Nothobranchius furzeri: one gene and its partners. The protein of the gene in region 3 interacts with the protein of the main gene of each other region in a biochemical or structural test. Links are inferred from orthologs where the notes say so. Each region holds a gene or a part of one and is shown on either strand. Other genes may lie near its edges. The genes, in order: bmp7b, bmp4 and bmpr1aa.

The links.
Region 1: the proteins of bmpr1aa (region 3) and bmp7b form a complex in vitro, tested with the Homo sapiens proteins (2 studies listed by BioGRID). The link is inferred for Nothobranchius furzeri from reciprocal best matches to the Homo sapiens genes BMPR1A and BMP7.
Region 2: the proteins of bmpr1aa (region 3) and bmp4 form a complex in vitro, tested with the Homo sapiens proteins (3 studies listed by BioGRID and IntAct, with this or other methods). The link is inferred for Nothobranchius furzeri from reciprocal best matches to the Homo sapiens genes BMPR1A and BMP4.

The regions. Positions count from the first base shown.
Region 1 is NC_091755.1:56,414,169-56,417,828, reverse strand, and holds the end of bmp7b (bone morphogenetic protein 7b), read left to right. Parts: intron 1-768; coding exon 769-845; intron 846-2,528; coding exon 2,529-2,639; intron 2,640-2,930; coding exon 2,931-3,080; 3' UTR 3,081-3,219; downstream 3,220-3,660. UniProt on the Homo sapiens protein: Growth factor of the TGF-beta superfamily that plays important role in various biological processes, including embryogenesis, hematopoiesis, neurogenesis and skeletal morphogenesis.
Region 2 is NC_091758.1:25,529,192-25,531,751, reverse strand, and holds the end of bmp4 (bone morphogenetic protein 4), read left to right. Parts: intron 1-820; coding exon 821-1,674; 3' UTR 1,675-2,057; downstream 2,058-2,560.
Region 3 is NC_091752.1:44,595,827-44,600,001, reverse strand, and holds the end of bmpr1aa (bone morphogenetic protein receptor, type IAa), read left to right. Parts: intron 1-852; coding exon 853-988; intron 989-1,313; coding exon 1,314-1,506; intron 1,507-1,587; coding exon 1,588-1,885; intron 1,886-2,022; coding exon 2,023-2,198; intron 2,199-2,854; coding exon 2,855-2,985; intron 2,986-3,093; coding exon 3,094-3,219; 3' UTR 3,220-3,641; downstream 3,642-4,175. UniProt on the Homo sapiens protein: On ligand binding, forms a receptor complex consisting of two type II and two type I transmembrane serine/threonine kinases.

The DNA of each region.
Region 1 (3,660 bases), on a different chromosome or scaffold from region 3:
CACAGAGGGACTCAGTTGAGCAACATTCACTATTTGATTCCTCTGCACACAAATATCCAAGTATTACACTTCAGATGGCAATGAAACATTTAACGTATATTGCAGGCCTTTGTCCAGGAGGTGTGAGAGAGCTGTGTTTATGTGAAACATTAGACTGTACAGCTTCAAATATCCATCTGCTGTCTTTGTTTATTTACTCAAGCATTACACAGCATTTGGGGCCAAGCTCCCTGCATGAAGGTAAGGCACCGCAGGCTTTTATGGCAGAGCACATCTGTGGCGTGCTGTGGGGCAACCGGGGTCCAGACACATGGGCCAAAATGGGACTGTTTGGAACTGTGGATAGCAGTGGTCTTTAGCTTCATGATGAGAACCAGTCCCTCATAATCACTTCCAATGTGAACTCCTTTCAAGCACTAATGTACCACAGAGCCTCCATGGTCACCAGAGGAGCAGAAAGATACTGCTGGATAGAAAACAGATATGTCTTTTTTTTTGCACTTGGTAAAAAGAAAGAAGGAATGCTGAAATGAGTCTTCAGTTATGAATTTTACCAAACTCTATATTATTGTACAGATGTGTCTCAGACACTCAAATCCCAGCAATGCTACGGTTTGTTTGAAATCCTCACTAAAATGTGGAAGTGATTTTCTTCAACCAATAATTATTGTTAATTTCTTTTTGGATAACAGTGGCTTGAAGGTTAATTCTTCATCATAGTGTAATGGTTTACCTGCCCTAAAACATTGTTTTCTCTCTGTTCCCCAGAAAACAGCAGTTCTGATCAGATGCAGGCGTGTAAGAAGCATGAGCTTTACGTCAGTTTCAAAGACTTGAAATGGCAGGTACAGAACCACTTCATCAAAGACACTTCTTCTTTCACAACGAATGAATAAAATGTTTTGTAATATCAAAAAGATAAGAAAAATGCCACCAAAAGATACTTTGGACAAACAATGCATCAAGTATCTGGAAAAAGGCCATTTTCACCTGATACTTGGTACTTTTTCATTTACAAGCAGAGGTATGAGTCTGCAATATGGAACATTTTAAATAAAAAGCTATATTGTTAAACAATAGATACCTTCAAGGGGCGTTTAGAGGGGTGCAGAATGAATGTCCTTTAAAAGCTACATTTAAAAAAATAATAATCAAATTTTAATTTTGTCGGCACAACGCTAAGCTTATGTTTACATCTACCAGCCTCTAGGGGGAACTGTTGCACTGAAAGGTCCACTCAGCAAGAGGCTAGGACTGTGTAAAATGGCGGCCCTGTCAAGTCAAGCAGCTGATTCTGAGCCCAGAAGATGTTCTAATGTTAAATACTATTGTAAAGGAAACTTATTAGTAGAAATGAGCCCTTACCCTGTACGATATGCCACTGGACATGGTGCTGGCTGGTCCCATAACGTTTCAGCAGTGAACCAACACCCCAAAGGCTGGAAAATGTGTTCTGTTGTTGCAATACCACCTCTCAACACCAGATGTCACCAGAGTGTCCGTGCTCCATATTCAAATTTTAAGATGTTTTCTTGATGCATAAGAATGTCCCAAAGTGGACACCATAGCTCAGGTCTCTAAGTGACAGGGTGCATGTCAATTTCAAGGCGCCTGGCCTCGCAAGACATTTCTTGATGCATAAGAATGTCCCAAAGTGGACACCATAGCTCAGGTCTCTAAGTGACAGGGTGCATGTCAGTTTGAAGGCGCCTGGCCTCGCAAGACATTGCCTAGCGAGGCCAGGTGCCTTGCTTTTGAGAACACTGTCCTTCCTTGGTCAAAGAAAACAGCTAAATGGAACAGACTTGCATCACGTGACCGCAGCTTCTGTGGCAGTCATGTGACACGGGAGATAACGTTATATTTTATACGTAAAAGTTTCATTATAATATATAATGAGCCTTTCACTTTAAAAATTGAGTATATATTTGTCAAATTAAATATGTAAGCGGGTTACTATACCTGCTAACCACCGAAGCAGCAGCTACTAGCATCTAACCCACCATAGCTAACTTCTTTGGATCTAAATAAAATATTTCAGATACCAGCCCAATAGCTACAATTAGTTGACTTACATTTAAACTTGAAATTTGCCCCCGAAGTAGCTGCCGGCTTCTCTTCCATCCTTTTGAAAATACTGCGGTGTATTCTGGGAAATGTTTGACCAAGGCTAGGCTACAAGACACCTTCCGTGTATCCTTGCTCAGCTAGCTAAACGGCTAACGAACGGAGAACAGATGCCTTGGTAGAACATGAACATTGGAACACGCCTTGGCGGTTCCTGATGATGTATCTCCTAGGCAACCGGGAAGGGACCAAGACATTAAGGCAAGCTTCCTTGGCAAGAGTCATGACTGGGTCGTCTCAGTGTGAAAACTCGTTTACATGAACGATGAAAATAGTAACCATCATTTTGCAGACATGCTAAAGTGTAAGCTACGTGGGTTAGCACTAAAGGTTCCTATTGAGTGAATTTATACTAACCAACCAGTCAGATGAAATACCTTGTCTGCCCCATCCACCCACAGGACTGGATCATTGCTCCAGATGGATATGCAGCATATTACTGCGAAGGAGAGTGCGCCTTCCCTCTGAACTCCTACATGAATGCCACAAACCATGCCATTATGCAAACACTTGTGAGTAACCACAAAACCAAAGAATAAAATGCAAAAGATTTGTTTAGACTTTATTAATCTCGCCAGGTGATAAAACATTTGATAAATGCAGATTATATTTTTACTCTGTGGTTTCAGGTCACAACATTCTGTGTTTAATAAGCCTGAAAGTTTCCAGTGTGATCAGTCTTATTTATTTATTTTTTTATTGTCACACGACACCTAACAAATGCCACACATTTACGGTGATCTATAAAACAAAGTGAATTGCTAAAATATAACTTTAATATCTGATTTTCCTTTGATTTCCAGGTTAATTTCATCAATCCCAAAACGGTTCCTAAACCCTGCTGTGTCCCCACACAGCTCAACGCCATCTCCGTGCTCTACTACGATGACAGCTCCAACGTAATCCTCAAGAAATACCGCAACATGGTGGTCAGAGCTTGTGGCTGCCACTAGGACCGTCAGCGCCCTCACCAGAACACGTACTGTACATACAGATGGGGATGGGGGGTGCACTGTGTCAAAAAGCTGCAAAAACACACCGCACAGAGTGGTTTGTGCATCTCGTGTTGATGATGTGTGACCAAACAGGACTTCGACGAACTTAAAGGGACAGTTCACCTCAACATTAAAGGCTGGATTGTATGCTGAAAAAAAGAATGTAATAAACACAAATACAACCAAATTATCTCTGTTAACAGCTGTACATACTGGCTTTATACAAATATCCTGATAGATTTTGTAATAAATGTCACAAACTGGCATGTAGTAACATATCTGCATGTTTATAGTTCCTATCAGTAATGCTTTTATTTATTTTACTTCTGATTATTTCCTCTGTGTGCGTGTGTGTATATATATATATATATATATATATATATATATATATATATATATATATATATATATACATATATATACATATATATATATGTATATATACATATATATATTAGATTAGTAGCCATTTTGTGCATATTGCAAAAAAATTGCACATTTTAGTATGTGCAGGTATTTTTATGTATAATATGATGAC
Region 2 (2,560 bases), on a different chromosome or scaffold from region 3:
AAGAGAAGGTGCGTTTATGGCAGGAAGATGATATCCTTTATTGACCAGGTGTGAACAGAAATCACACATTTTGATAATAATTCTCCAATTTAACTACGGAGCAGACAAAACAGATGATTGCATTTTGAAAATGTTTCAGTTCTCGGACGCACAGCATTCCCACGCAATGCCTCCTTTTCCCAGGGGCTTCAGATAAATGAGATTCTACTGTATTGTCTGACTCCTTAATGATTATTCATGATGAAAATGATAAATGTCTTAAGTGGACAAACTGCAGAGCTAATCAAAAGCACAGCAGGTTTTAATAATGAGAACCACCTGGGTAAGATTAGGGCCTGGGTGTGAAATAACAGGGGTGGATTGAGCAGGAAAATAGTAGACACAACATTCCTTTCCCCAACAATGGTGATCTTGCCAGAAATCTGCAGACTGTGAGTGGAACAGGGAGCCTCCACTGTGTTTATGCTGTAGTTGTGGTACGTTAATCACCACCCTCCTTGTAATTTATGTCTCAGCAAAGTGCTCAAAGAATGGCATTGAGAGAAGGGCAGGAAAATCTTTAAAGGCAGGTGAAGAAGCCTGAAGGTTATGTATTTAGTCTCAGGGGCCTTGAGAAGTGTGAAAAAATGTTATTTTGTGTCAATCAAATCTAGCTGAGAATGAGAAAGTGGAGGATTAGGTGGGATCCAAACACCAGGAAGGTGCTGATCCCCGGAACCCTAAAGTACAAAGAGCAGCCTTTAACATGTTGTATAGGTGACCTTTCTGCACATCTGATCTGTACAAACATCCCACACTTATTCCTGTTGCTCATTTTCAGAGCACATGGAGAGGATCCATGAGGTGGGTGATGGAGAATCCATGCCGATCCGCTTCCTGTTCAACCTCAGCGGCATTCCAGAGGATGAGCTGCTGTCGTCCGCAGAACTAAGGCTCTACCGGCATCAGATTGATGAGGCCATCGCGGACAGCCTCTCAGACAACCGGGGCCTCCACCGGATAAATGTTTACGAGGTGCTGAAAGCCCCGCGGCCTGGGCAGCTCATCACGCAGCTTCTGGATACGCGGCTCGTGCACCACAATGTGTCACAATGGGAGAGCTTCGACGTCAGCCCCGCCGTGCTGCGCTGGACTCGCGAGGGCCTCTCTAATCACGGACTGGCTGTGGAGGTTCTGCACCTCAACCAGACTCCGAGTCACCAGGGCCGCCATGTCCGTGTCAGCCGCTCTGTACACCAAAAACCCGGAGAGGATTGGGAGCAGCTACGCCCTCTTCTGGTTACTTTTGGTCATGACGGAAAGGGTCACCCGCTAACCCGGCGGACCAAACGCAGCCCCACCAAAAAGGGCGGTAAGCGCAAACGCAGCTGCCGGCGTCACTCACTGTATGTGGACTTTAGCGATGTAAACTGGAATGACTGGATAGTGGCGCCCCCTGGCTACCAGGCCTTTTACTGCCACGGGGATTGCCCGTTTCCTCTTGCAGATCATTTAAACTCAACCAACCACGCCATTGTTCAAACACTGGTGAACTCTGTGAACAGCAACATTCCCAAGGCCTGCTGTGTACCAACTGAGCTCAGCGCCATCTCCATGCTCTACCTAGACGAACACGACAAGGTGGTCCTAAAAAACTATCAGGAAATGGTGGTAGAGGGCTGTGGCTGCCGCTAGCGCGCAAACTCACTACAACCTGGACTCAAAGTGGCAACTCAAACAAAATAATGTGGAAGCCCTTCCCCCCCAAAAAAATTACAACTTCTTGTCTCCCAAAATGTTCACTTGGACCCTTATTTATAACTTTTATGAGGTGTACGTTTGTCTCACTAATTTGTTTCTTGACAATATGATCATATATTTTGACAAAATATATATATTTATATCTACATATAAAAAATAAATTGAATTCTTATTTTAAACACAAAAAAGCTGTTTTACTTGTCATAATGTATATTAGATTGTCTTTTTTGACGGAGAAAATGGTAAAAACTCTTTATTTACTGGTAATATTTACTACTTTGATGTTATGCAACAAAATAAAACATGGATATCTTTCACATTTAGTTATATTATAACATGCACTCTTTGTATTTGCTAAAAAAAATGTAGCTCTGTTTTTATAATCAATTGGTCAAATTATTAAAATGGAATATTTTAGCCCCCAAAAATCCCACTATTTAACTTAGATCCATAGCCATTTAAAAAGAAGGGAAAAAGTGAGAAAAATCTTATTTACTTTTTTATAATAATCCTGGATAACAGGGTTATAATGTAGTATAACAGGGTAACAATAATGTATTAATGCTTAATTTGTGCTTCAAAACTGCCAACATTTATTTCATGCTTTAATAAGATGCAAGGTCTAAAAGGTGCTATACAAAGTGGTCAGAATAGTTACATTTTGGTACAATTTCCTAATTTTAAATGATTGTTTGTGATAGAAAAAAACACTTGTGACTTAAATAATTTTAGCTCTATTTTATAAAACTAGTTTTTTGTCATCTTTGCCTAAATTATTTCAGAAAAAAATTAAAATTGGTTTATTCTAAGGTCTTCCCCT
Region 3 (4,175 bases):
CAGCATGTAACATCATGTAACAACAGCGTGTAACAACAGCTTGTAACAACAGCATGTAACATCATGTAACAACAGCATGTAACATTATGTAACAACAGCATGTAACATCGTGTAACAACAGCATGTAACATCATGTAACAACAGCATGTAACATCATGTAACAACAGCATGTAACATCGTGTAACAACAGCATGTAACATCGTGTAACAACAGCATGTAACATCGTGTAACAACAGCATCATTTCACACCAGTTAACCAAATCCGGAAAAGAACATATGTAATATCATCTGGTAACAACGTCAGGAAAACAACAGGACTTTTCTTGTTATCTTGAAGATGTTTTACCTCTCGTCCAAGAGACGGCTTCATGTCTAGAGCTTATTGTCAGCAGGAGTCTGCAAGTCTTATTTTTATTACTTTTTCTTTAAAAAGGGCTTCTGTGGGTACCAGTGACCAAGTTGGTGTGACTGGGTGAATGATACACTGTAGATCAAAGCGCTTTGGAGTCCTCTGGCTCTGAAAGGTCTTATACAAGTGCAGGTCATTTATCATTTACATTTATTTTAATATTGAAGATGTTCGATTGATTAAAGATGGATATCAGAACCCCAATAATCCAGGATTAGAACTCTTCAGATATTAAATAATTTTATGATTAAACCAACAATCAGAACTAAAATCATCTAATAATTCTCCTCAAAACCAACGTTATTCATATTTATTATACATAAACACACACCTAAATGCCCATATCAGGAAAAAAGACCAGATCCAAACATTTCCTGCAGATGTTTTTAGGACTTACTCGTGTGTGTGTGTGTGCGTGTGTGTGTGTGTGTGTGTTTTAACAGGTACAAGCTGCAGACTGAACGTGAACGATATCCCAAAGACACAGAACAGGAAGTGTTCATCAGAGATGGCGAGTCACTCAAAGACCTCATTCATCAGTCACAGAGCTCTGGCAGCGGTTCGGGGCTCCCCCTGCTGGTAGGAACAAAACAAGACGCTCATCTCCTCCATATTAGCAAAACTTGGTTATAAAACCTAATATATGATATGTATATAGTCTAATCCTTGTCATACAGCAGTAAAAAGTGGGTTTATATTCTTGGTGTAATTAAACAAGAGCAAAAAAGTTACTTAACTCAAACTGAAGCATTAAAAAACACACGTTATAAAGTCTGGAAACATAAAGAAAACGTAAAACAAAAGCATCACAGCTGCTTAGAAGAGAAAAAGACGATCAGGAGGAAATGCAGAAGTAACAGTGGCGGATGAAGACATGATATTCTGTGTTATCTGTGCTTCTCAGGTGCAGCGGACCATTGCCAAGCAGATCCAGATGGTTCGTCAGATTGGGAAAGGTCGCTATGGAGAGGTGTGGTTGGGACGGTGGAGGGGCGAGAAGGTAGCTGTCAAAGTCTTCTTCACCCGTGAAGAGGCCAGCTGGTTCCGTGAGACAGAGATCTACCAGACAGTTCTGATGAGACACGAGAACATCCTTGGTAGTCTTGCCACATCAGTTCTAAAGCAGATGATCAGACAACTGTGACATTTATGCTCATCTGTTAACTTTCATCCTGCAGGGTTCATCGCTGCAGACATCAAAGGTTCGGATGCCTCCACGCAGCTCTTCCTCATCACAGACTACCATGAGAGCGGCTCCCTGTACGACTACCTGAAGCTGACCACGCTGGACGTTCAGGTTCTGCTGCGGCTGGCCTACTCGGTGGCCTGCGGCCTCTGCCACCTGCACACAGAGATCTATGGCACGCAGGGCAAGCCAGCCATCGCCCACCGGGACCTGAAGACCAAGAACATCCTGGTGAAGAAGAACGGCACCTGCTGCATTGCCGACCTCGGTCTCGCCGTCAAATACAACAGGTGATTTTGTTGTTTTCCTCTGATATCCTAACCTGTAAAGGTGTCAAATCTGATGTAGTGTTTGAATGAAAGACTAAGCTGCTGTAAACGTATTTCAGTCCTTACTAAATTATAAAAGCTTCTTCGGCTTGCCATAGTGACACAAACGAGGTGGACATCCCTCTGAGCACCCGGGTGGGGACGAGGCGCTACATGGCCCCTGAGGTCCTGGATGAGAGCCTCAACAAGAACCACTTCCAGGCATACATCATGGCGGACATCTACAGCTATGGCCTTGTTGTCTGGGAGATGACCAGGCGCTGCATCACCGGAGGTACACACACACACACACACACACACACACACACACACACACACACACACACACACACACACACACACACACACACACACACACACACACAACTGTGCTTTTCACAGAGCATACCTTATATTTATTTTTATTTTATTGACCTAAAAATCACTTTGAAACATGCCAGTCGAGGTTGCCCAAAGTTCTGAACACTGATACCAAAGTTCAAGGTTTTTATATTATTCTCTTTTGTTTTTTTGTTTTTTTTGGGGGGGCACTGCACCACCATGCCTTACTCATTCAGACCATTACTAAAATGGAACATTAGGTACACAGATTAACAACAACAACATTTTAAAAAAACACTGAAAATGGATGTTCTGTCCATTTTGGTCACTCTTGATAAAAAATGTAAATGTTCCGCTCTGGCTTGTATTTCATTGCCATCATACATCCTAGCAGACCTCACCACCAGCTCCCCTGAGCACTGCTCATGGCTCTGGACACTTGACCCTGGGTTGGTTACTTCTAACACCTGTCTTTCATACACATAATTCTGTCTCACATCTACGTCCTGTCTCATCGGCAGAGCCAACGGGCTCGGAAACCCCCGACTTCCTTGTACATATTTGGTCTTCTGTGTATCAGCTGAGTGAGCCTGCTTTCTCTCTGCTCAGGTATTGTGGAGGACTACCAGCTGCCGTATTATGACATGGTGCCCTCTGACCCCTCCTATGAGGACATGTTGGAGGTGGTTTGTGTTAAAGGACTTCGGCCTACTGTGTCCAATCGCTGGAACAGCGATGAGGTGAGACTCCTCTGTAGATGGAATGAATCCCAATGAGTCACCTAGATGTTGCCTTCAGTGACTGTCAGAGGACCAAACCAGTTTCATTAATTTCTGTTGTTTCCACAGTGCCTTCGAGCCATGCTGAAGCTGATGTCAGAGTGCTGGGCCCATAACCCCGCCTCCCGCCTTACAATCCTCAGAGTGAAGAAGACGCTTGCCAAGATGGTGGAGTCCCAGGACATCAAAATCTGACCGTCCTTCCCTTCCAGACTTACTTGAGTCGCTCCACCCGGACCGGATCAGACTGGATAGGTTCTGCCATGCTGCCTCTTTCATCTCGAGGAGAAACTGGGAGATAAAACAGGGCCTTCCTCAGAGTTGAACTGTGTACCTCCTTCTCTTTTTTTTTTTTTTTTTTGTCTTCCTCATTGGGAGTGAGACAGCCAGGCGTGATGCTTTCTATGAAAGCCAAACGAGACGATAACAAATCTTCTTACTGAGATGAGAGGAACAGACACATTTTGTTTTTCCTCTTCAGGACTGAGCCGTAAAGGAACCAATCTCCATCTTCAGTAGGAACTTTCTAAGGTACTCTGAGAACATGTGACCTGAACGTGTAAATAAATGTTCTACCTGAGATCTCTGGAGTCCAGCTGACTCCAACAGGAGACGTCCTCCGTCCTGTTACAGTCTGTTCATTTCCTGTCCATGTGTCTCAGATCAAGTGGTACGTGTAGGGGTGGGGTTCCTTATAAAGCCCCGCCCACCCTTCTAGTTAATCATATATGGTTGCGGGCTCTTAAGCGTTGAACTGCGATGCTTCTATTTAAGATGTGAGATTTGAATTAAAACCAGCAGACAAACTAAAGTGGGTTAAATTACCTACAGTATAGTTAGCAGCTGCTGCTCCTTCACCATCACCTGCAGTTTCATCACCACAAAGGTGCTAACACATCAGGACTAGTTGATCATTTAGCCTGGTTCAGCACACTTACAGTTACAGCCCTGTTCACCTATTAAACACTCCATGTGTTGGACTTGATATGCCAACAGAAGTAAAGCTGTTCAGCGCAGTCAGGCTAGCAGTTCCCCTTTGCTACCAGTCATTGTGCTAAGCTAACCTCTAAAGTGAAAAGTTTAGCAGGACGCAGTGCTTGCTGTGGCTCTGTGTGCATGTGCACACGTCTCTATAAGGAAGGAAAGTGCCC